Linked DNA regions of Macaca fascicularis. The protein of the gene in region 5 interacts with the protein of the main gene of each other region in a pairwise test. Links are inferred from orthologs where the notes say so. Each region holds a gene or a part of one and is shown on either strand. Other genes may lie near its edges.

What was found.
Region 1: the proteins of TOX4 (region 5) and TBX6 interact in binary tests that used the Homo sapiens proteins (3 or more experiments, as listed by UniProt). The link is inferred for Macaca fascicularis from reciprocal best matches to the Homo sapiens genes TOX4 and TBX6.
Region 2: the proteins of TOX4 (region 5) and ZMYND19 interact in binary tests that used the Homo sapiens proteins (3 or more experiments, as listed by UniProt). The two-hybrid records come from large-scale screens. The link is inferred for Macaca fascicularis from reciprocal best matches to the Homo sapiens genes TOX4 and ZMYND19.
Region 3: the proteins of TOX4 (region 5) and ATXN1 interact in binary tests that used the Homo sapiens proteins (3 or more experiments, as listed by UniProt). The link is inferred for Macaca fascicularis from reciprocal best matches to the Homo sapiens genes TOX4 and ATXN1.
Region 4: the proteins of TOX4 (region 5) and BANP interact in binary tests that used the Homo sapiens proteins (3 or more experiments, as listed by UniProt). The two-hybrid records come from large-scale screens. The link is inferred for Macaca fascicularis from reciprocal best matches to the Homo sapiens genes TOX4 and BANP.
Region 6: the proteins of TOX4 (region 5) and FNDC3B interact in binary tests that used the Homo sapiens proteins (3 or more experiments, as listed by UniProt). The two-hybrid records come from large-scale screens. The link is inferred for Macaca fascicularis from reciprocal best matches to the Homo sapiens genes TOX4 and FNDC3B.

The regions. Positions count from the first base shown.
Region 1 is NC_088394.1:28,005,501-28,009,602, reverse strand, and holds the start of TBX6 (T-box transcription factor TBX6), read right to left. Parts: upstream 2,801-4,102; 5' UTR 2,495-2,800; exon of another isoform or gene 2,114-2,494; 5' UTR 2,066-2,113; coding exon 1,948-2,065; intron 1,865-1,947; coding exon 1,630-1,864; intron 196-1,629; coding exon 1-195. UniProt on the Homo sapiens protein: T-box transcription factor that plays an essential role in the determination of the fate of axial stem cells: neural vs mesodermal. Acts in part by down-regulating, a specific enhancer (N1) of SOX2, to inhibit neural development.
Region 2 is NC_088389.1:1,732,441-1,735,940, forward strand, and holds the end of ZMYND19 (zinc finger MYND domain-containing protein 19), read left to right. Parts: intron 1-2,186; coding exon 2,187-2,367; intron 2,368-2,654; coding exon 2,655-2,798; 3' UTR 2,799-3,258; downstream 3,259-3,500. UniProt on the Homo sapiens protein: May be involved as a regulatory molecule in GPR24/MCH-R1 signaling.
Region 3 is NC_088378.1:156,585,963-156,589,462, reverse strand, and holds part of ATXN1 (ataxin 1), read right to left. Parts: coding exon 2,337-3,500; intron 1-2,336. UniProt on the Homo sapiens protein: Chromatin-binding factor that repress Notch signaling in the absence of Notch intracellular domain by acting as a CBF1 corepressor. Binds to the HEY promoter and might assist, along with NCOR2, RBPJ-mediated repression. Binds RNA in vitro.
Region 4 is NC_088394.1:83,853,631-83,857,730, reverse strand, and holds the start of BANP (protein BANP), read right to left. Parts: upstream 2,801-4,100; 5' UTR 2,768-2,800; intron 2,409-2,767; exon of another isoform or gene 2,107-2,408; intron 2,080-2,106; 5' UTR 2,008-2,079; coding exon 1,987-2,007; intron 1-1,986. UniProt on the Homo sapiens protein: Controls V(D)J recombination during T-cell development by repressing T-cell receptor (TCR) beta enhancer function. Binds to scaffold/matrix attachment region beta (S/MARbeta), an ATC-rich DNA sequence located upstream of the TCR beta enhancer.
Region 5 is NC_088381.1:89,170,369-89,173,731, forward strand, and holds the end of TOX4 (TOX high mobility group box family member 4), read left to right. Parts: intron 1-1,015; coding exon 1,016-1,179; intron 1,180-2,345; coding exon 2,346-2,406; 3' UTR 2,407-2,863; downstream 2,864-3,363. UniProt on the Homo sapiens protein: Transcription factor that modulates cell fate reprogramming from the somatic state to the pluripotent and neuronal fate. In liver, controls the expression of hormone-regulated gluconeogenic genes such as G6PC1 and PCK1.
Region 6 is NC_088376.1:83,827,175-83,830,674, forward strand, and holds part of FNDC3B (fibronectin type III domain-containing protein 3B), read left to right. Parts: intron 1-99; coding exon 100-218; intron 219-2,000; coding exon 2,001-2,106; intron 2,107-3,197; coding exon 3,198-3,370; intron 3,371-3,500. UniProt on the Homo sapiens protein: May be a positive regulator of adipogenesis.

The DNA.
Region 1 (4,102 bases), on a different chromosome or scaffold from region 5:
TAGCGAGCCCCGTCCACCGGAACCACGTCCAGAAGAAACAAGTAACGGGCCTCGGGGTCCAGGCCAGTGACTGACACTCGGCAGGCAGGGAACATGCGCCTGTGCAAGGGAGGGGACAGGAGAGGCCTGGTGCTACCCACTGGCCAGGGGTGGGCCCAGCACCAGTAACGGGACATAGCAGCAGGCTCCCCAGAGCTGTCAGAGAAACATCAAGGGAGGTGGAATTAGAACCCAGAGGGCAGGCCGGAGGCTGTGGCTCACACCTCTAATCCCAATACTTCGGGAGGCCAAGGTGGGAGGATCTCTTGAGTCCAGGAATTCAAGACCAGCTTGGGCAACACAGAAAGACCCCATCTCTACAAAAAATTAAAAAGTTAGCCAGGCATGGTGGCGCACACTGATAGTCCCAGTTACTATAGAGGCTGAGGCAGGAGGGTCACTTGAGCCTGGGAGGTCAAGACTACAGTGAGCCACAATTGCACCACTGCACTCCAGCCTGGGCAACAGGGCAAGACCCTGTCTCTGAAAAAGGAAAAAGGGCCAGGTGCAGTGGTTCACGCCTGTAATCCCAGCACTTTAGGAAGCTGAGGCGAGATCATGAGGTCAGAAATTTGAGACCCAGCCTGGCTAATATGGTGAAACACTGTCTCTACTAAAAATAAAAAAATTAGCCAGGTGTGGTGGTTTGTGCCTGTAGTCCCAGCTACTCGGGAGGCTGAGGCAGGAGAATCGCTTGAATCCAGGAAGCAGAGGTTGTGGTGAGCTGACGAGATAGCGCCACTGCACTCCAGCCTGGGCAACAGAGCGAGACTCCATCTCAAAAAATAAAAAAAAGAACCCAGAGGGCAGAATCTTAGATCTGGAAGGTTTTCTTGTCTCATTTTACATTTGGGGAAACAGGACAGACAGGTTAAGCGATCTGTCACACAGCAGGTTAGGAACAGAGCCATGACTCCTACCCCTCAAAGCGTATTTGCAGAAGCAGGGGTGACTAACTTTCTTGCTAGGAGCTTCCTGTCCCCACCCTCCTCTCCTCCCCTGATGTCCAGCACCAGAATCTGCAGCTTTTAGATGAATTTGCTTTAGAAAAAATATACCCTGCCTGCAGTAGGGCTGAGGACTTTCCACGCTAGGGCTTGAGCTCCTGCCCTAAAGACCTCGTCACAGGCCACACACTGACCATGTCCCTGCCTCTAGGGTGACCCTGGACCTAGATATACTGAGTCCTATTCAAGCTGCATACTGATCCCCAGTCCTGGTCAGATTTCCCTGATGCTGGTCACTGGGCTGGCCCTTGACCCCCTGTCCTTGTCTGGACACTGGTCTAGGCCACACACTAACCTATAACCCAGCAGGACTTCCTGACCCTGCCCCAGACTGACCCATGACCCTTGCCATAGATTGGTCCCTAAACTCAGCCACAGACTCCACAGACTAGCCCTTAGCCCTTGTCACAGAATGACTCCTGATTCCAGCCACAGAGTAACCCCTGTCCCAGGCCATAGTCAGATTCTAAGCCTAGGCAGAACTCTAGCCCCTAGGGAACCTCCCAGACCTAGCCCCTCCTCAGGGACTCTGCTTTTCCCAGGAGACCCCCACCAGAAACACGGACCCTGACCAGCCCCTCACCTCCCAGCTTTGGTGATGATCATTTCTGTTCCCACAGAGCTGAACTCCTTCCATAGCTCCCGGTTCTCCAGGCTCAGGCTGACCCCAGGGAGGGAATGGAGGGCCTCTGGAGCTGATGGGGCCGGTTCAGTGCCCATGGCAGGGGGCAGAAGGGGCAGAGGTGGGTGTGCGGCCAGGGTGCGGGGAGCAGCCTCCATCCCGGAGAGGAAGCAATCCAGTTTGGGGGTGTCCAGGTCTGGAAGCCGGGGAAAAATGAGGAGCCAGCCAAGGGCCCCAGCCTCCCTATTCTCCTACCCAGGAGCTGGTCCCAACGCTCACCGGGGTAGCGGTAGCCCTCTGCTAGGCCGGGTGGGAAGCTGGAGTCGGCCCCAGGTTGGGCGGGCCCCAGGCGGTAGCCGGCCCCCAGGGACGGGTACAATTCTCGTGGATGGTACATGTTGTAGTTCCGTCTGGTCTCAGGTCTCGCTGCCTAGAGCCCCCGGTGCTGCGAGATGCCCCCTTTATAGCTCACAGCTCAGCCCCTTCCAGACCCAGGATCACAGCCCCTCCCCTCTTTGGGGCCCTGGATTTGGGCTGGGGTGGAGACCCCTGGGGCCTCGAAGGGGTCCGAGCAGGGGCCGGATACCTGGGTACGGTCCCCTCCTTCCCTCCCTCCCCACCCCGGGCGGCTTCATTAGCCTCGACCCCCTGCCCCCTCATTACATAATTAACTCCTCGGCTTGATTGATCCCCGGGGCTCGGACAGGGACGCAGTTTGGCGCTTCCGGCCAGCTGGTCCCCGTTCCCACGGGGGGGAGCCCCAGCTAGGGATAAGCTGGGGGGCGGGGCATGGAGCCTGGACGGAGCCTGGAGTCCCGGGACACACCTTGGCGCCCCCGACCTTCTGGCAGGTGACCGCCCTCCGCCCCCCTTCACTTGGAGGCCGGGCCCTGGAGGGAAGCAGCATGACCAGAGGGAAAGTGCAGGCTGGAGGGATGCGGCCTGAGCTGATTTCACAGGGCACTCGGGGTCGCGAGGAGGCCGCAGCCCAGTCCCGAGCACCGTAGTCCTCCCTGGTCCCCATGCTTTAAAAAAAACCTCCACGCTGAGCCAAGCCTCCAAGGTTCGGAGGCGCGCACAGTCCGACAGCTTCTGACGCCTCGCGGCAGGGTTTCCCAGAAGGTCCCACGCTGGGGAACCCTCGGAACTACACTTCCCGGCAGGCCCAGCGTTGAGGCGCGCCCGAAAGAGCCGGATGGACCACGCGGGGGCCGCTGGAAGTTGTAGTCCGGCCGCGAGGGGGCTGCGAGGCCGGCGACGCGGTTGCCTCCCTGGGGCGCTGTCCCTAGGCGGCGGCCAAATGCTGCAGCCGAGCACACGCAGATCAGGCGAGGTCACAGCGTAGGCAGCCAGAGTGGGCTCCGGGCCTCCGCCGGCAGTGAAACCGCCCCGGTTCCTGGAGACCCAGCTTGAACGACTTGCCTACCCCATGCCCCGCCGGGTCTCAGAACCGCACAGGTCTATAGGGGCAGAAATCTCCGCTTGAGCTTCCCCTCCCCGGATTACACGCGAGCCTGAGCTGTCTCCACTCCATTGTTTTATTATGTACAAACGCTACAGAACGAGGGGGACAGACACGCGTGGGGTCAGAGGGGCTTGGTGGGAGGAGTTCACAGAGCAGACGGTGCACTGGGGCCAGGAGAGCAGAACACAGGCCATATCTATAGGGTAAGCGGGGAAGGAGGGGGTTAAAAACGAGATCCAAGCCAGCCAGATCGCAGGAGGTGCGGGGGCGTCGTCCCCCTTCTGTTCTCCCCCCAAGGTCACAGTGCATGCAATAAAATATATGTACAGGAGCTGGATCCGTCCTCTGCAGGGGCCCTGAGGGTCCAGAGCTCCCTTTGGGCGGAGGGAAGCCGGTGGCGCTCCCTGGCGGCCAGGCCGGGCTGGAGCCACATGCGTCGGGGAGCGGGGGTCAGTCCCAGCCGTTGTCTTTGATCATGTGGTTGAGTTCAATGATGTACTTCCCCTCTTTGTACTTCTGGCTGCTCTCAAAGGCCTGTTCCTGAAAGGAGGGGCGGGACCATCATCCCCGGAGCAAGTCTCACCACAAGGCACAGGGGTTGGGGAGTGGACATGAGTGGCCCCATTTTACATATGAGGAAACTGTGGCGGAGGGGCAGGGCCGCGTTTCTCACAAACACAGAGTAGAACTCCCTGACTCAAAGGTACTTTTCAAGTATTAATGATGGCTCCAACAGAGAAGATAGGGAAGTGGCTAAAAGATTTCACAGTTCAGGTTTGCAAACTGGTGGCTTCATGGCCATTTTGGCCTACAACATGTATTATATGTGGCAAACGACATATATAAACTCTCTCTTGGACAGCAGACAGTTTAATAAAAATAACTTTAAAGTATTAAAATATAATTAGGCCGTGCTCACTCCAGTTTGCCCAGCCTGCCCCCAACTCCCAACCCCTCCAGTCTATGCTA
Region 2 (3,500 bases), on a different chromosome or scaffold from region 5:
GATGCGCCCGTCTTGGCCTCCCAAAGTGCTGGGATTACAGGCTTGAGCCACCGCGCCCGGCCTTTTTTTTTTTTTTTTTTTGAGACGGAGTTTGGCTCTGTCGCCCAGGCTGGAGTGCAGTGGCGCGATCTTGGCTCGCTGCAGCTTCTGCCTGCCTGGTTCAAGCAGTTCTGCCTCAGCCTTCCTAGTAGCTGGGACTACAGGTGCCCGCCACCACGCCTGGCTAACGTTTGTATTTTTAGTAGAGACAGGATTTCGGCATGTTGGCCAGGCTGTCTTGAACTCTTGACCTCAGATGATCCGCCTGCCTCAGCCTCCCACAGTGCTGGGATTACAGGTGTGAGCCACCACGCCTGGCCCCGCCTCAGCCTTTTGAGTAGCTGAGATAACGGGTGTGCACCACCATGCCCGGTCCCTGCTCTAATATTAGAGTTTTGACCCTTCTCTCATACTGCTTGTGAGTGACGCCAATCCTCTTATGATTGTTGGATGGGATTTTTTTTTCTTTCGGGGATTATGTTAGCCGGAACTTTGGGTTGCAAGAAACAGAAACAGCTCAATTTGGCTGAAACAAAATAGGGTACGTTTTGGTATCCTGACTGAAATGTGGAGAGCCAGGGATGCTGCTGCCTCCAGCTCTGCGCCCCCACTCCCGGCTCCTCTCCGAGAGGCGGCATGCGCACTACCCAGCACCTGTGGAGTGAAGCAGGCACCCTGTTCTGGTGGTGTCTGGGGAAGCCCTGGGATGAACTGTAGTTAGCATGCTTTGCATCACTTCTCTACATGAAGTCAGAGTTGTGTCATCCACGGGAAGGGGAAGGAGTGCGTGGCAGGCAAAGCAGCATCCGTAGCATCTCCTCCTGCGTTGTCCCACATTGATACATGCTCAGTGTTGATGCTGGGATGGGCCCTCCCCGACTCCACAAGTTCCCCCACTGCCCACCACTCCACCAGGCGATGTCATCTGTCCCTGCCGTGGTACAGGTCATTTCAGCTGGTTGTCAATAAGACTCAGGGTCCGGCCAGCCTGTGACTGAATGTTACCTTGAATCCTCTCAGCACCCTTCCTAGTCAGGAGGGGAGATAACTGCCGTTAAGAATAGCTGCTTGGAAAGGGGGTGTTGAGCTGATGCTCCTGGTCAGCCCATTCTCCGTGGGCACGGCAGGATGAGTTGCGCTGAGGCTGCGGCCTTATACAACCCCCTGCTGCAGGAGGTGGCCTGCGGTGGCTCAGGACTGATCAGGCTCGGCCATCTTTGGTTTGCCAACATGGGGTTTTAGAACCCAGCAGGTATTGGGCCTCTTGTGCTGGGTCAGCACCCCAGGCCACAAGCAGAAGTCAGCTAGCCAGTGTGGGCCTGACGTCCTGAATGGCTGGGTGCTGTGCGTCCTTCTGGATCCCAGTTTGTGGCCTCCCTGTGGTCTGGCTCTTTGTGATGGGGTCACCCTGTCTTTGTCAGGCCTGGGCTGTTGCTCTCCTTTCCTGGCACTGTGTCAGCTCAGCCCCCACAAAAGGGGCCTGTTGGCAAAGGGGTGTTTTCCTTTTCTGTCTTCAGAAGCCAGCAGTGTCTGAAACTTGCCTCTGTCTGGTGGGACCTCACTAACATCTTCCCGTGTCCTGATCCTTCCACCTTTTAACCAAGTCTCCTCAGGGTCTGGCCTCAGAGAACAGGGTTGTTGGGGTGGTTTATGCAGCTCCTTTACTCTGTGATGCAGCAGGGCTGGGGCTGCCCACACTTGCCTCTGAGCAGCCAGTGCTCGCTCCAGGGCCTGTTCTGTACAACACGTGTACAGATGAACGTAGGGCAGCTCCCGGCATGGAAGGGGAGGTGGACCGACGGGGCAGTAATGGGCACCTCTGCAGGTCAAGGGCAAGGAGAGGGGCTGCCTTGCTTTGTGCAGGGGCCTGACCTGGGCACTGCCTCCTGCCTACTGTGTGCCTATCAGTCCCAGGTGCTGGGGACAGGGTGACAGATGAGGCGGTGCTTATGGGTGAGTGGGAAGACGAGACACAATATTTACTGTCAGGTGGTGAAAAGCACATGCAGCAGGGATGCGCCAGAGGAGACTGGAATTCGGGCCGGGTGTCCTGGGCAGGATGGCACTCTCTGGACTCATCACATCACCCGCCGTGTGCTGGCCCCATTTGGCCAGAGTGCACTGAAGTGTCTGCTTCTTTCTTTAAGGGAGCAAAGCTTGTATTGGCTTGCAATTCAGCAGCTGCCTACAGACCCTATAGAAGAACAGTTTCCTGTCCTAAATGTGACCCGGTACTATAATGCCAACGGGGATGTAGTGGAAGAGGAGGAGAATTCTTGCACCTACTACGAGTGCCACTACCCTCCCTGCACGGTGATTGAGAAGCAGGTGGGTGTGCTGCAGTGCGGCCTGGTCCTTGGCACCTCTACCCTGTAGCCCAGCCTTGGTTTGGGGTCTTGCCCTCCTACCGCAGGGCCCCATTCCCCGGAGACCACTTGGGCTTTTCCACCAGGGTGGTCTCCCTTTGCCCTTGTGCTGGCCTGACCAGGGCCCAGGCCCTCCAGCCTTGGTACATGGTGTTTTGCTGGGTCCGTCAGATTGTCCGTGCGATGCAGTCTTTGCCCCACACTGCATCCCAGGCATGACGGTGAAGCCACAAGTGTTCTGTATTTCAGCTCCGGGAGTTCAACATCTGTGGGCGCTGCCAGGTGGCCCGGTACTGTGGCTCCCAGTGCCAGCAGAAGGACTGGCCAGCCCACAAGAAGCACTGTCGGGAGAGGAAGCGTCCCTTCCAGCATGAGCTTGAGCCAGAGCGATGACGGGCGGGAGAGCCGCACACACTCGCAGCCCCCGGGCTCTACCCTGGGCACAGCAGAGACAGACTGGTGGTTGAACCTGGAGGTGCCGAAAAAGCCAGCTGCGGGCCCAGGACAACCGCTGTGAGACTCCCGATGTCACAGGCAGTCTGTGTGGTTATAGCGCCCCTCAGTGTTCATCTCCAGCAGAGACAACGAAGGAGGCTCCCACCAGGACGGTTCTCATTATTTATATGTTAATATGTTTGTAAACTCATGTACAGTTTTTTTTGGGGGGAGGCAATGGGAAGGGTAGAAATTACAAATAGAATCATTTGCTGTAATCCTCGAATGGCAAACGGTCAGGCCACGTGTCTAAAAACTGTCCTGTAGCTGAAGCTTCTCCCCTGGGCCACGGGAGCCCCATGGAGCGCGGCCTGCACAGGAGTTGTGTCCACAAAGGCAAAGTAAAGGGGTGGAATCATCCGGCGTCTCGGACATTCTCTGCTCTGCCTCCCTCTTGTGCTGCTGAGGGTGAGGTCATCTTGAGTGGAGCCGAATCCCTGTGAGGGCAGGAGGACGTGCCCTTGCTCCTGGTGGGCAGGAGCAGGTGAACTCAAAACTTCCTGAGTCCAGCAGTGAGCGTGAGTGAGACTCTGTCCTTGTCTTGTGGCAGGACTGGTGCAGGTGCTAAGTCAGCTGCCCACTGGTTCATTGGGAGTGGGA
Region 3 (3,500 bases), on a different chromosome or scaffold from region 5:
CTCATAATACAAAGAAAAGTATTCAGGGCTAAAAGCTCTCGTCAATGCGGGGCCCTGACTTTGTGCAAGCCCCCACATCCTGTCATTCAGGAGCAGTTCTGGAAAACTGATTTGGTCCTTTGCTCACTTGGGCTTTTAAAAAATGCTCAAAAAAGCCAGACATGGGGACTCGTGTCTGTAATCTCAGGGCTTTGGGAGGCCGAGGTGGAAGGATTGCTTGGAGCCCAGGAGTTTGAGACCAGCCTGGACAACACAGCAAGACCCCATCTCTACTAAAATGTTTTTTACTTTTTAAATTAGCTGGCCATGGTGGTATGCACCTGTGGTCCCAGCTACTAGGGAGGTTGGGGTGGGAGGATTGTTGGAGTCTAGGAGGTCAAGGTCACAGGGAGCTATGATTGCACCACTGCATTCCAGCCTAGGAGACAGAGAAACACTGTCTCAAAAATGAAAAAAAAAAAAAAAAAAAGCCCAAAATAATTCAAACCATTAATTACTTTATCTTTTTTTCTTGTTTTATTTTATCTGAATGTCCCAAATAGCAGCTATTGCATGACTATTTTCAACTCAAGCTGGAAGGAGGCTCTGTCCCATTTGAGTGTTTTCAAATCCTAGATGGAAACACTTGTAGAAAGTGAGCTCGATAGCCAGGAAAGCTCTCAGCTGCAGGCTGAACCTGCTGGACTCCCAGCAACTTGGGCAGTGAAAGAAACGGGCTGTGGAATAAATGCATGTAATCGATCTAAGAACCTGGAAAAGGGTGGATTGAAGGAGCCTGTGGAAACTAAGACAGCTAACCATACTTCAAGTGACTCATCTTGGCTACAGATGACTTTACCCCAAGCCCAGCAGGTCACCTGGGACAGCCCTGACTTCTCAGATTGTATTAACCATGCTTTTACTTTCTGATGCTTTGATATTTTAGGGTCTTGCGGATCCCAGAGGTATAGTCTCTCCCAGGATTAGCTAATTCCTAGAAGCCTGATTTTCATATGCAAACCAACCAGTCCAGAGCCCACTCCCCAACAGACTCCTATATTGGTCCATCACACTTGGGGCTAACATTTTTTTTTTATTTTGTCTGAGACAGAGTCTTGCTCTTTGGCCAAGCTGGAGTGCAGTGGCCTGATCTCGGCTCACTGCAATCTCCGCCTCCCGGGTTCAAGCAATTCTCCTGCCTCAGCCTCTGGAGTAGCTGGGACTACAGGCGCCCACCACCACGCCCAGCTAATTTTTGTATTTTTAGTAGAGACGGAGTTTTACCATGTTGGCCAGGCTGGTCTCGAACTCCTGACCTCTGGTGATCCACCCGCCTCAGGCTCCCAAAGTGCTGGGATTACAGGTGTGACCCACTGTGCCTGGACCTTCCACCTGTATCGATCACCCCAGCACCAGCCGCCAGACAACAAGGGACAGCCCCTATGCCCCAGAGCACACTGGAATTATCCACTCTAGCCAATCCTAAACCTGTTTATCCTGCCTCATGAAAACCACAATAAAGGCTGTTGTCTGCCATATTTTCCCTCACTCTCTCTGCCTCCTGACCCACCTGGTGCTTCCCCAGGTGCCCCCCACTTTATGGTGCTCTACACTTCTTGGTGTAGAGTGCCCCTTCCTCTCGGGATCAGAGAGTATAACAAATTATCTCATTAAAGAGAGTTGTCTCCTGATCTATCTGTCGGCCTTATCATACCTAAATAATAGTAAGACATTATATATATGTTAGAGACGGGGTCTTGCTATGTTGCCCAGGCTTGAGTGCAGTGATAGTCACAGGTTCAGCCATAGCTCACTACAGCCTCGAACTCCTGGGCTCAAGTGATCCTCCTGCCTCAGCCTCTGGAGTAGCCGGGACCAAAGGCATATACCACTGCACCCAGCATCCATTTTAAAACATGGATGTTGCAATGGGATGTGATTGCTTCAGCACCTAATCCACTCACTCCAGCGGCATCCTCTGTCTTTTCCTGGTAGGAAAAAGTGCAGAATGACCGCTGGAAGGACCTGAAGTCCAGCAGCCTTTCCTAATCGGGGTTCCTCATCCTGACCACAGAATTCAAGAAACAACTAGAGTGGTGAGTTTCTGAATTGTATCAAGGACTCCATAACTAGCCCCACTTTCCATGCATGGAGATCAATTCATTACACACAGCAGAGGTCATGGGGAAGTGGGGCTTATTTTTTCTAGAGAACGCAGTTGGGAAAGGCCGAGTCTAAGGTCTAGGTGTACCTGAGAACCCTTAATCCTGCCTCATAGAAGCAATTCGTCTTGCCAGGAGATGACGATGGCGTTGCGGTGTGGTGTCCCATCCCTGTGCCACCCGGGCCAACATTACCTGGGCTCGGTGCTCCCCGACGGCGAACTGTATCACGGCCACACCCGGGCTATGGCTGTCTTCGATCCTCTCCACGGTGCTAGAGTCGATCTTCAGGTCGTTGCTTATCTCTGCGCTCTGGATGAAATCTTCTGTTTTTAAGTCTTCCACCTTCTTTAGCTCCCCGTTGGCCAACTGGATGATGGAGCCTTTCATGAAGTAGGGAGGCAGAGTAGGGGGAGCCGCCGCCGGGGAGGCCACGGACTGCACCACGGGCAGGTGGATCTGGGCCTGCACCATGGCTGGGTAGGCGGACTGGGTGACCAGGGCCTCGGGGTTGAAGTTCTCGCTCTTGGGAAGGGCGGTGGTGACGAACGTGTGAGGCACTGCAGCAAACTGGGGGGATGACGTGACTATGGCCGGGGCTGCCCCCGACGCTTCCATGTCAGTGCTGCCCACCGGGATGAGCAGGGGCTGTGTGCCGGGTATCACCAGGTGCTGGGGCAGGCTGCCGGCGTAGGTGATTGCTTGCTGCTGGCCGCTCAGGTAGCCGATGACAGGGGGTTGAGTCCCTGCGTAGAAGGCCGTGGCTGGCAGTCCCACCGGGAGTGGCTCTGAAGCACTGTGTGTGGTCTGAATGACCGTGTGGGGTGAGAGCGCATAGGACCGGTGGCCAGGCTTCCCTAAATGCAGGCCGCTTTTGTCGTTGAGGGTGGAGGGGGAGGCCTCGCGATGAGTGGCCTGTTGCACCTCCAGGTCGGCCGCGGGCGTGTTGCTGTTGGGCAGGACCATCACAGAGGCCCGGACCCCTGAAGGATCACGACTGCTGTAGTCTGAGGGGCTCGGGTGAACCACCACGTGCCTGGACTCGTACGGGTGAGGAACCGACTTGCCACCTGCCTTGCCCAAGCCCAGGTCGGCCGAGGACGGGGCCCCGTACCGCCGGCTCTTCTCCATCTCACCGTTCAGGACCTCCTTGGCCTGGATGGCCTGCTGCAGCCGGCTGCTCTCAGCTTTCTTGGTGGCCTCCCGAGGGACAAAGTGGCTGCCGGAGTCGGCGTATTGCATGACGACCTGGGAGGGGGGCCCCAGGGTGAGCGTGTGTGGGATCATCGTCTGATGGGGGTGGAGGTGGACGGGGATGGCCGGAGGAGAGGCGGTGCGGCCGGTGCTCTGCGGAGAACT
Region 4 (4,100 bases), on a different chromosome or scaffold from region 5:
ACAATAAGCTACTGTGAAAAAGGAACAAGACAAATACATGCTTGGAAATTAAAAATTTGATTGTGAAGACATATGAAAGCCCTCTCCCAGAAATGAGAATAAACAAGACACAGAAGGAAGGATAAAGATGCAACTCCAGGGGTCCATCTAGAACGTCCATCACAAACAGGAACTCCTAAGACAGAAGAGCAGAGCTGGAGAGGAAGAACTTCTCAGACAGAACAAGGCAACTCCCCAGAGCTGAAGGACAAGGCACCAGAGTCAAAGAGTCCCCGGAGTAGGAATCCACACACCTCAGCACACGGTAAAATGTCATTAACACCAAAGAGAGGATCCAAGAGCGTTCAGGGAGGGAGAAGGGTCTCCACAGAGGAAGAGCACCTGCCAGAGCGTCCTGTGGAAATGAACAAAGCCGAGATGAAAACATTTCTGAACGCACCCAGCCGCAAGAAGTATCAGGTTGGCTCGTCTGCAGGCTAAAGAATAACCCATCCAGATGAGAAAAAGGTTAGGGGCTGAAGGAGGAAGGGGACCTGACACTATCCTTGAGATCATTTAAAACAATGCAAGGAGTCGATGGGAACAGAAAGTGCCAAGAGAAAAGCCATGACTAACAGAAAAAAAACATGCTGTACAGGAAGGGAAACACTCAATTTGTGAAGAGAACAGTATTTACATAGGCCTGACACACACAGTCCAGGGGATAGAAGAGGTGGGATATGACAGAAGGGCTCCATCACCCCATGGTAACAGAAAGTCAAGACTGTGTAAAACCAAGTAGCAGCTTAGAACTAGGTGCAGTCACTCACACTTGTATTAACGGCTACTAAGGAAGCTGAGGATCACTTGAGCTCAGGAGTTCAAGTACGGCCTGGCCAACATCTGGGGATCCTATCTCAAGAAAAAAATGAAAAAGATCAGCTTACTTAGAGCTATAAAGAATGACCTAAAGAAACCACTCAAGATGTAAACCTCTTTGAAGAATGGGGCTGAGAGGTGGGGCAGGGGACCACTGCTTTTCATTGTAAGTCTTTCACTGATGTTCCTATTGTACACATTATATTAATTAAAATACTAAATATATAGGCTTCAAATAGACTGAATTTGAACCCTGGCTCTGTACATCTGAGCAAGTCCCTTAAGTGTCTGCGGGCCTGGCCACCTCATCTATAAAGTGGGGGCAGCCTCTGCCTCCCGGGTCATGGTGAAGCACCCGAGATGTTGAGCTGCCCCCAAGCAGCGTGGATCACAAATGGATGCTCTTTTTTAAAAAGATTAAAGCCCCAGCCTGGGCAACAAGCGAAACCCCCTCTAAAATACAAAAATACAAAAATTAGCCAGGGGTGGTGGTGCCTGTGGTCCCAGCTACTCGGGAGGCTGCGGTGGGAGGATCACTTGAGCCAGGGAGGCCGAGGCTGCAGTGAGCCAAGATCACCACACTGCATTCCAGCCCCGGGGACAGAGTGAAACCCTATCTCCAAAAAATAAAAATACTAAAGCCAATGATGACAGAATCCAACATCGCAAGAATATATTCTTATTTTAATTGCCAGACACGGGAAGTGGACCTACACACAGAATTTTACCGCGTTTTGGTGTTTTCTTCTAGCACAGGATATTTGCGAGCTGCGTGTTAAATGACCAGATCCAGTTTTTCTTTGCTGTTTCCTGAGCTTACTCAGAACCACTCACTACTCCAAGTTATTTTTCTGTCCCCCAAGAACTTCCAGCTAAAAGTGGCCCCTACGACTGCCTCCTCTTATTATTTACTATAGTTCTGCCATCGCCATCAGGCCCTGGAGTACGTTCCTGGGCAGAACAGGCAACTCCAAACAGGGCAATTATCTGTTCCACATCAACAACTGCGTGACCCGCGCCCTCCCCGGTCAGGGTGCAAGCTCGCTACCCTTCAAAGCCCACACTCGCTCCACTTGCTCACAGTTCTTCAGGGATGATGTATTTCTCCAATAGCAAGGCAACCCCTACCATCTCATCAGTGAAAAACATCAGTCCTCTATCAAGGTACTCTCTCCAATTTGCTCACACAGTGTGGATGGAATGTCATCTACTTCCTGCATCCTAGGGGGAAAAAAAAAAAACGGCCACCTTTCTTAAGGACTAGATCACAGAAATCGCACAAACGTGCTGGGGAGGGGGCACCCCGAAGTCCTCGTTCATCGGGGCACCTAGGGGGACGGGCTGGGGTCCTCGCCGGGGTCGGCGGTCGCCCCGGGATCGTCCCTTCCGCTGCCTCGCCAGAGACTTGCATGTGCGAGTCCCGGGCTATGGGGCTCCAGTCCACAGCCACGGAGGAGGCACAAAAACGGTGCCTGTCGCTCCCGGCTGGCTAGCAGGAGCGACCCCTTGGGAGACTCGGTCCCCAGAGGAGCCCGGGCGCGGTTCTAGGCCCTTCCAGTCTCCCCGCCGTGGCCCCGGGTCCTTCCCGCGGGGCTAGGCCCGGGGCAGAGGTCGGGAGCGCGAGGCCCCCGGGCCGGGCTGCGGCAGCCGCGGCTCAACGGACGCCGGGGCGCGGCGGGGCCGGGGGTGCGGAAGCGAGGAAGCGGGAGCCCCTCTTCCGGGGCGCGGCCGGGGACGGGGAGCGGGGCCTGGGGGGCGCTCGCCCGGCCCGGGCGGTTGGAGGCGGCGGGGCTGCGGCGCGGGCGGCCCGGCGGGCGGGAGGAGGAGGGAGGAGGGAGATCTCGCTCTCGCTCTCGCCCCGCGGGAAGGGGGAGGCGGAGGCGCGACCGGCTGCGGGAGCTGCAATTACCGTGTGGGCTGCGGAATTCTCGTGGTGTTTGTCGGGGAGATGCGATAATGGCGTCCGTCCTCGCGAGAGAAGCCGCCGCTCTGCGCAGGCGCCGCGAGCCCCTCCCCGCGACGCTCTGCCCCCGCCCTCTGCGCAGGCTCACCGGGCGCGCGGGGCCGGGGGCGGGGCTGGGGCGAGGCCCCTTGCGGGCAGGGAGGCCAGCTGCGCGCGCTTTTCCCGCTCGGCCTCCTGGTGAGCATGCGCAGGCGGCCTTCTTCCGCGATGGTACCGGCTTCCCAGGGTTTTTTCCCCCCGTTTTTCGCCCACGCACGTGGCCTGCCTGAGAAAAATCACCTCAGTGGACGGTGTGAGGAATTTGCATCTTCTTTGAGACGGAATGAATAGGCATTAGCTCCCTCAACGACTACACCTCCCAGGGTGCCCTGCGCAAGCGGGGAGCCATGCATTCGGGGACTCGTAGTCCCTTCGTCTGGGCCATGCCTGCCGGGACTTGTAGTCTCTCCGGACTCCGGTCGTCCGTCTTGTCCCCGCACCAAGGGTTGCTGGGACTTGTAGTTACAATGTCTCAGGTGGGCTGTGCGCCCCCAGCGGGTCCTGCCTGCTGCTGCGGCGGATCCTGCCCTGAGGTTCCGGAGCGCTTGGTGGCGTTTTCCCAGACATAAGTGGTCAGGGGTCCCCAGCGTCTGTCCGGAGGGGCCTGAGTGCACGCGCGCGGGAGTTAGCACGCACAGCAGTGACCATGGTCTTAGATATGTCCTACAGCTAACACATAGTATAAATAAGTGATGGCGGCCGGGCACAGTGGCTCACGCCAGTAATCCCAGCCCTCTGGGAGGCCGAGGTGGGCGGATCACCTGAGGTGGAGGTTCGAGACCAGCGTGGCCAACATGGCGAAACCCCCCTCTCTACTGAAAGTACAAAAATTATGCCTGGCCTGGTGGCGCGCACCTTGTAATCCCAACTACTCGGGAGGCTGAGGCAGGAGAATCGCTTGAGCCCGGGAGTCGGAGGTTGCCATGAGCCGAGATCGCGCCCCTGCACTCCAGTCTGGCGACGGAGCGAGACTCTGTCTCTAAAAAAATTAAAAAGTGATGGCGTGAATGTGCGCACGTTATCGTTTATGTAGAATAAATGTGCATTTGTGGGTAATCATAGGAAAAAAATCCCAAACTATAGGGCAATTCCCAGAAATGTCATTTCTGGTTATCTCCCTCTGCTTATCTAGAATTACCTTGTCTTTCATTTTCCTCTTTATACTCCTGTTTTCTGAATTATTTGCAATGAGCAAGAATGCCTTTGATCTCCCAAGCACAGGGCAAGGGAGCTATTTTCA
Region 5 (3,363 bases):
CTGGGATTACAGGTAATCGCCACTACACCCAGCTAATTTTTTGTATTTTTAACTAGAGACGGAGTTTCACCATGTTGGTTGGGCTGGTCTTGAACTCCTGACCTCGTGATTCGCCCGCCTCGGCCTCCCAGAGTGCAGGGATTACAGGCTTTGAGCCACCGCGTACCCCATAGTGTTTTTAGTGAGATACATTAAGATAAGGACCACTCCTTAACTAAGCAGCGGCCACTAGTTCAGCTGGACAGGATATAGCCTAAACAGTTATTTTTCAGAGTTGTTTACCCAAGGATCTTAAACTTTGGACATATAAAGCTTTTCGTTTATCCTGGGTCTTAAGTTCCTTAGCTTGATGTTTTAAATGTGTGTGGGGCAGAGGGTATAGCCAGAAAAATTTAATTGGTTCATACCATTGTTTTTTAAAACACATAAATATGGCCGGGCGTGGTGGCTCACGTCTGTAATCCTAGCACTTTGGGAGGCCAAGGCAGGTGGATCACCTGAGGTCAGGAGTTCGCGACCAGCCTGGCCAACGTGGTGAAACCCTATCTCTACTAACAATACAAAAAATTAGCCAGGCGTCGTGGCAGGTGCCTGTAATCCCAGCTACTCAGGAGGCTGAGGCAGGAGAATGGCATGAACTGGGGAGGCGGAGCTTGCAGTGAGCCGAGATTGCGCCACTGCACTCCAGCCTGGGAGACAGAGCAGGACTCCGTCTCAAAAAAAACAAACAAAAAAAGGACTACCTCTTTATTCCCAGTACTATACTTGACTAGCCAGGCTTAAGGGGGAAAAAAAGCATTACCACATGCCCACCTTTCTCCTGATGGGAAAAATCTTCCGTCATTCTGCTTGGCAAAGTTCTGAAGCTAGACTGTTGAGGGGGAGACCAAGAACTCACCTTCTCCAGTTTTACCCCCAGTGTGAGGAATTGTAATACCCTTTGCTTCATTGGTTTCAACTAGCTAGCTAGGCAGGGAGCAATTTAATCCACTTTGGTACTCTCTTCCTCTCACAGGTTGAGTCTCCTTCTCAGATGGATGTTGAATTGGTGAGTGGGTCTCCTGTGGCACTCTCACCCCAGCCTCGATGTGTGAGGTCTGGTTGTGAGAACCCTCCCATTGTGAGTAAGGACTGGGACAATGAATACTGCAGCAATGAGTGTGTGGTGAAGCATTGCAGGTGAGCTTACAGTTCCCCCTTTTATAATTCAGATACTGGTCAATTAATTCTGTTGGGAAACATGGTAATCTTGAGCATAAAATCAACATCTCAGTGTCACCTTACTTTAGGTAGAGTAGGTTGCTGTATGTCTATCTGGCATACTAGAAAAGCGCCCCTGCTTAAGAGCTTACATTTGCCACATAGCCAAAGATGACGTAATCAGCAGTTCACATTTTTCAGTTACCACATACCTCTCTATGCTCTTTAAAAATGTGATAATACATTAGGTTGTTAGTGTTTGCAAATACTAGCTTTTCAATCCTTAGTGCAAATCAGACTTAGGGAATTAGAATTTGGGGAGAAATGGTAAGTGGAAAGTAGCATATGATAATTTGCAATTTGTGAGGGAAATGGGGAGAAATTTGGAAGATTTTACCCCTTTCCCCAAATTTCTCTGGGAATTACCTATAGCTGTAGGACAAGGCATTTCTATTTCCTATTTCAAAAACTCTACAGTAAATTAGCATTGCCTCTACTTCTGACTTTTAAGCCCACTGTTCTTATATTTCTAAGGTGATACTATCTAACCATATGCTGCAGGAAATTATCTGGGAACCTATTTGCTTAAGACTGATAAAAAAAATCCAGCTGGGCCAATGTGGTGAAACCCCATCTCTACTACAAATACAAAAATTAGCTGGGCATGGTGGCGGGCGCCTATAGTCCCAGCTACTCAGGAGGCTGAGGCAGGAGAATCTCTTGACCCTGGGAGACGGAGGTTGCAGTGAGCCAAGGAGATAATGCCACTGCACTCTAGCCTGGGCAACAGCGAGACTCTGTCTCAAAAATAAAAAAAAAGACAGATAAAAAGAATGTAGCGACTGGGCGTGGTGGCTCACACCTGTAATCCCAGCACTTTCAGAGGTCGAGGCGGGTGGATCACAAGGTCAGGAGATCGAGACCATCCTGGCTAACACGGTGAAACTCCGTCTCTACTAAAAATACAAAAAATTAGCCGGACGTGGTGGCAGGCGCCTGTAGTCCCAGCTGCTCGGGAGGCTGAGGCAGGAGAATGGCATGAACCCGGGAGGTCCATCTCAAAAAAAAAAAAAAAAAAAAAAAGTAGGCTGTAATTCTGTTTCAGTTTGTGTATAATTCTGTTTGTGTGTCTTTTTCTCTCTTAGGGATGTATTCTTGGCCTGGGTAGCCTCTAGAAATTCAAACACAGTGGTGTTTGTGAAATAGTCCTTCCTGTTCTCCAAGCCAGTGAAGAGTTATCTTCTGGGAACATGTTCAAGAGCCTGTTTTTGAAACACAAGCTGGGCTTCTGGTAGTGCCTGATCACAACCCATGATGGCCATTCATGTTTCACCCCTTTTCTTCCTTCAGCAGAGGCCAGGCTGTGGAGCAGGGCCACTGAATTTGCTGCAATCTGGAGATGCTTTTTATTTTCAACCACAAGCAGAAATACCAGTGGTAATAGCAGAGGAAAGGGTGAAGGGAGTATGGGCAAGCAAAGCATAGGTATGGTAGGGGTGGTGGTGGGGTTGAAGAAACTTGTTGGTATAATTGTCATAGGACTTGCCTAAAATATTATTAAAATTACAGGAGTGTACTCAGCTTTGAGCCTAGGAGAAAACACCACTGTATCCATTTTAAAAGGGCTAAAAGATTATATTAAAGGTTCCCTCTTAAAAAAAAATGTTATTCCCCATTATCACATCAATACACTGCTTTGAGAACAAAACTTTTCAACACAGGCACACTGGGCCACATGGAAAATGACATCACCCAGGAGTTTATTTCTCTTTATATATATATTATTTCTGCAGTTACCATCCTTATCTGAGTTATCACAATTCATGAATCTAAGAGGCAAAACTACATCATTAGTAAGAGGTTTTACCAAAGTCTAAAGTTGTATTCACTTGTGTTTGATGCAATATCTTCAAAAGATCATAGATCTATCATTATTTCTTGGACATAATCTAATGAAAAACAGAAAAGCCACCTAGTTGTAACAGCATAAGCAGAAGTTTACAGCACGATAGTCCAAGTGGTGATAACCTTAAATAAAACTCAAATTTTTACTGTCTGTAAAACAGGAAACGCTCTCCTAGAGAACCTCCTCCTCAACCAACCATGTACATAGTTTTATCCTATGCATTCCTGTTTTCTGTGGGGTTTTTTTTGTTTTGTTTT
Region 6 (3,500 bases), on a different chromosome or scaffold from region 5:
GGCTTTCCTGAAAACATAGAGCTTTTTCTTGTCAGCAATGGCTGATATACTCCATTTTTTACAAGAGGCATAAAGTCATGCATAAGTCTTGTTTTACAGCGAATCAGTGGGAAGTGGCCTACAGCGGGTCGGCTACTGAATACACCTTCACCCACTTGAAACCAGGCACTTTGTACAAACTCCGAGCGTGCTGCATCAGTACCGGTGGACACAGCCAGGTTGGTTTTGTTTCCATATGAAAGTAAACCTCTTTGATCAAATTCAGACCAGCTGTCTGTAACATCAGAATCAAATTGCAGTTTAAACAATGTATCTTGGTAATGCAACCTGATAGTATCAAGTCAGGAAATGAAAAATAGAGCTTTTTGAATTGCTCTTTAAAGGTATAAGATAGGCCTAAATGATTCCCTACTGAATTGTGGTATTTTCAGGTACATTTGTCACTCACTTATTTCTCAGAAGTCTTTGACGTAATCACCTGTGACGGTTGAAAATTATCTGGAATTTGCATTGACTAAATAAAGGAGACCTCGGTTATTGCAATGATTAAAAAACTATAGAATTTCTAGTTAAAAGATGAGACCTGTGCAGCACTGCTGTTAATCACGTCTATCAATTTTAAGAATTTGAGACATACCTTCCTCAGGGTACTTTACTGCCATCTGCTGGAAAGTTGTTGTAAAAACAATGTAAATCCATGATGACTGAGCTGAATGGCACCTCCTCAAGTTTTGTGGTACCCAACGTACACATCTGTAGGCAAGATCCATTCTTTTGTTTCTACTATTTATATGACCTCAGACTAACCAGTTAACATGTCAGGAGTCTTAGTTTCAACCACATTGTACTCTCATAGGCTCAAAACAACCTAATAAATATACATGGAGTACTCTAGAAATGAAATAATTGTTATCTAAATGGTTTTAACTTACACTCAGAAAACTGAGTGAGAAATGAGATGCCAAAAGATACTTTCACTGTAGAGATATTTAACATTATGATTTGAAACCACTAATAATTTAGAATGAAAGAGAAGGAGAGATGGTGGCTTACAGCCCTGTGCTGGGTTGACTTTTCAAGAGAATACCTGCCGTTTGAATGCCTGATTTTTCTAGTCAACCCACTTGCAACATCAGTTTTTGTGTTTACTTTCTTTTGCCCCCAAGGATGGTACTAGGACATCTAGACTGCCCATGTAGACACTCCCTGTGAGGAGAAGGTCCCGCTGGACCATCTTTATACAGTGCCGAAGCTTTCTGGAGTGCCTCCCAGGGTGGAGTAAATCCAAATCAAAGCTGAGATTATCAGTGGTACTTCCTATGTGTGAAGCACTACACAAGGTGTCACTGAGTCTGAACTGCTCAAATGCATAGAGGTCATTTCCTCTGTGCCACTTCTCAGGGAGAAAATTGAATGTGGCTGAGCTATATAGCTCTACCTGATTTTCTCCTGTCTCAGGAATCGGGTCAGCTTCCATATCACTAGCCTTACACAACCAGATCCTGCAAAATAAAGGCCTACTTATTTTAGCGTTAACAGTGCCTGCTGGTTAATGTCAGAATCAATTGATTAATATTGAGTTTATTTGCTTTTCTGCTCTGTATGTGAATGGTTGGCCACTTATGGTACCATTTTAAAATTTCATCCAGATGTCGTTTTGTGTTCTCTTCTGTCCTCATGAAGGGTCTTTCTAATTTTGAATTAAAGGAAAAGAATTGCTTAGGATATATAGTACTCATGTCTGCTAATCTAACTTCAAAAATAATCATTTTTGTTTTTCCCAGTGCCATATGAAGTCTATAACCACCCTTAAAACACACACACATACATTTATATGAAGATCTTAATTGCATTAAAAGCTTCCCATAATGTGCACACATTTAGTGTGTAACCCCTTTTCGGTAACATTTGCAGTTATGGGGTGGAATTTGCCTGATATGTAGAGGTCTGATAAATTCACAGTAACTAAGAGATGGTTCTCTCTGGTGTTTCTCCTGCAGTGTTCTGAAAGTCTCCCTGTTCGCACACTAAGCATTGCACCAGGTCAGTGTCGACCACCGAGGGTTTTGGGTAGACCAAAGCACAAAGAAGTCCACTTAGAGTGGGGTGAGTGAACAAACCTTCCCGTTGACATTGGTAGTTTGGACAATCGGAGATGAAGACTTACGCTTTGTAGTTAAGTTTCAAAGCTTTCTTCTAAAGACCACGTATGTTTTTGTCTGTTGAAGATGTCCATATTCCTCTTGAAGTATGTTGACCCAGGTTTTTTATGTGTGTCATTCCCCCCATCCACACCCCCAACACTGTCCCTCATCCTCCTCTTCCTGATGGTGCCACACACCTGGTTTATCCCCCACACTTCAGGGGACACTTTTCTAGGGAGTATTTCAAGAACAGCCAGTCTTTTTCAGAAAGTTTTCAACTTTATTAATGGGAAAAAAATTTTGTACTCAATTTAGAAATTAAACCAAAGAATAGTTTATAAGATCACATGGAATTCTTCCTCGTCTCTGTGTGTAACCACCTCTGCTGCATTGTCCTGTGTGGGTCCTGATGTTTTTACAGCGTTGACTTAAACTGTATTAGCGTTTTTGTTGTGCCAAGCTGTTTACAACATGTATAATTATAAATACAAATGTACAGAACTCTCTAGCAGACTATTTTTTCCCACCACTTATGTCTAAAGTATAATAAATTGTGCCAACCTGGGGTCCTGTATTTTGATTTAATATGACCTTTGGTTTCAAATTAAAGAGATTTTTCTTCCTTCTTTTTCTTCCATTTACCTAGCATTAAAATATGAAGAAATATATCTAATGTTCCTATGATTTGGGGATTATTTTATCAATGTAATTAAATAAACTTCAATGGACTTGCTTTGGAGAGTATGGATAACATCATTCAGAAACTTTTATTTTTATATCTCTTTTTGGTGGGCAGGGATTCTTTTGTAAGGGAGATACTGAGGACAGGCCACCTATGTGATATTTTGCACAACTTGTGTGAAATCTGGTGCAGTTTGGTCAACTGGAAGTACAAAGTGTTCTAAGATTTGGTGGGCAGGGATTCTTTTGTAAGGGAGATACTGAGGACAGGCCACCTATGTGATATTTTGCACAACTTGTGTGAAATCTGGTGCAGTTTGGTCAACTGGAAGTACAAAGTGTTCTAAGATGAAAATAATTTTTCATTCCCAGATGTTCCTGCATCTGAAAGTGGCTGTGAGGTCTCAGAGTACAGCGTGGAGATGACGGAGCCCGAAGACGTAGCCTCGGAGGTGTACCACGGCCCAGAGCTGGAGTGCACTGTCGGTAACCTGCTTCCTGGAACCGTGTATCGCTTCCGGGTGCGGGCTCTGAATGATGGAGGGGTGAGTATAAGCCCATACACTGTAACCAGAATCAGAATGCATAGTCAGAACCCAAAGTGCTAGCACTTCTGTCTCCAGCCTCCTGAAATTTTTGGCAGTCTTAATGCAACCTTGACAACCATTAATGCAG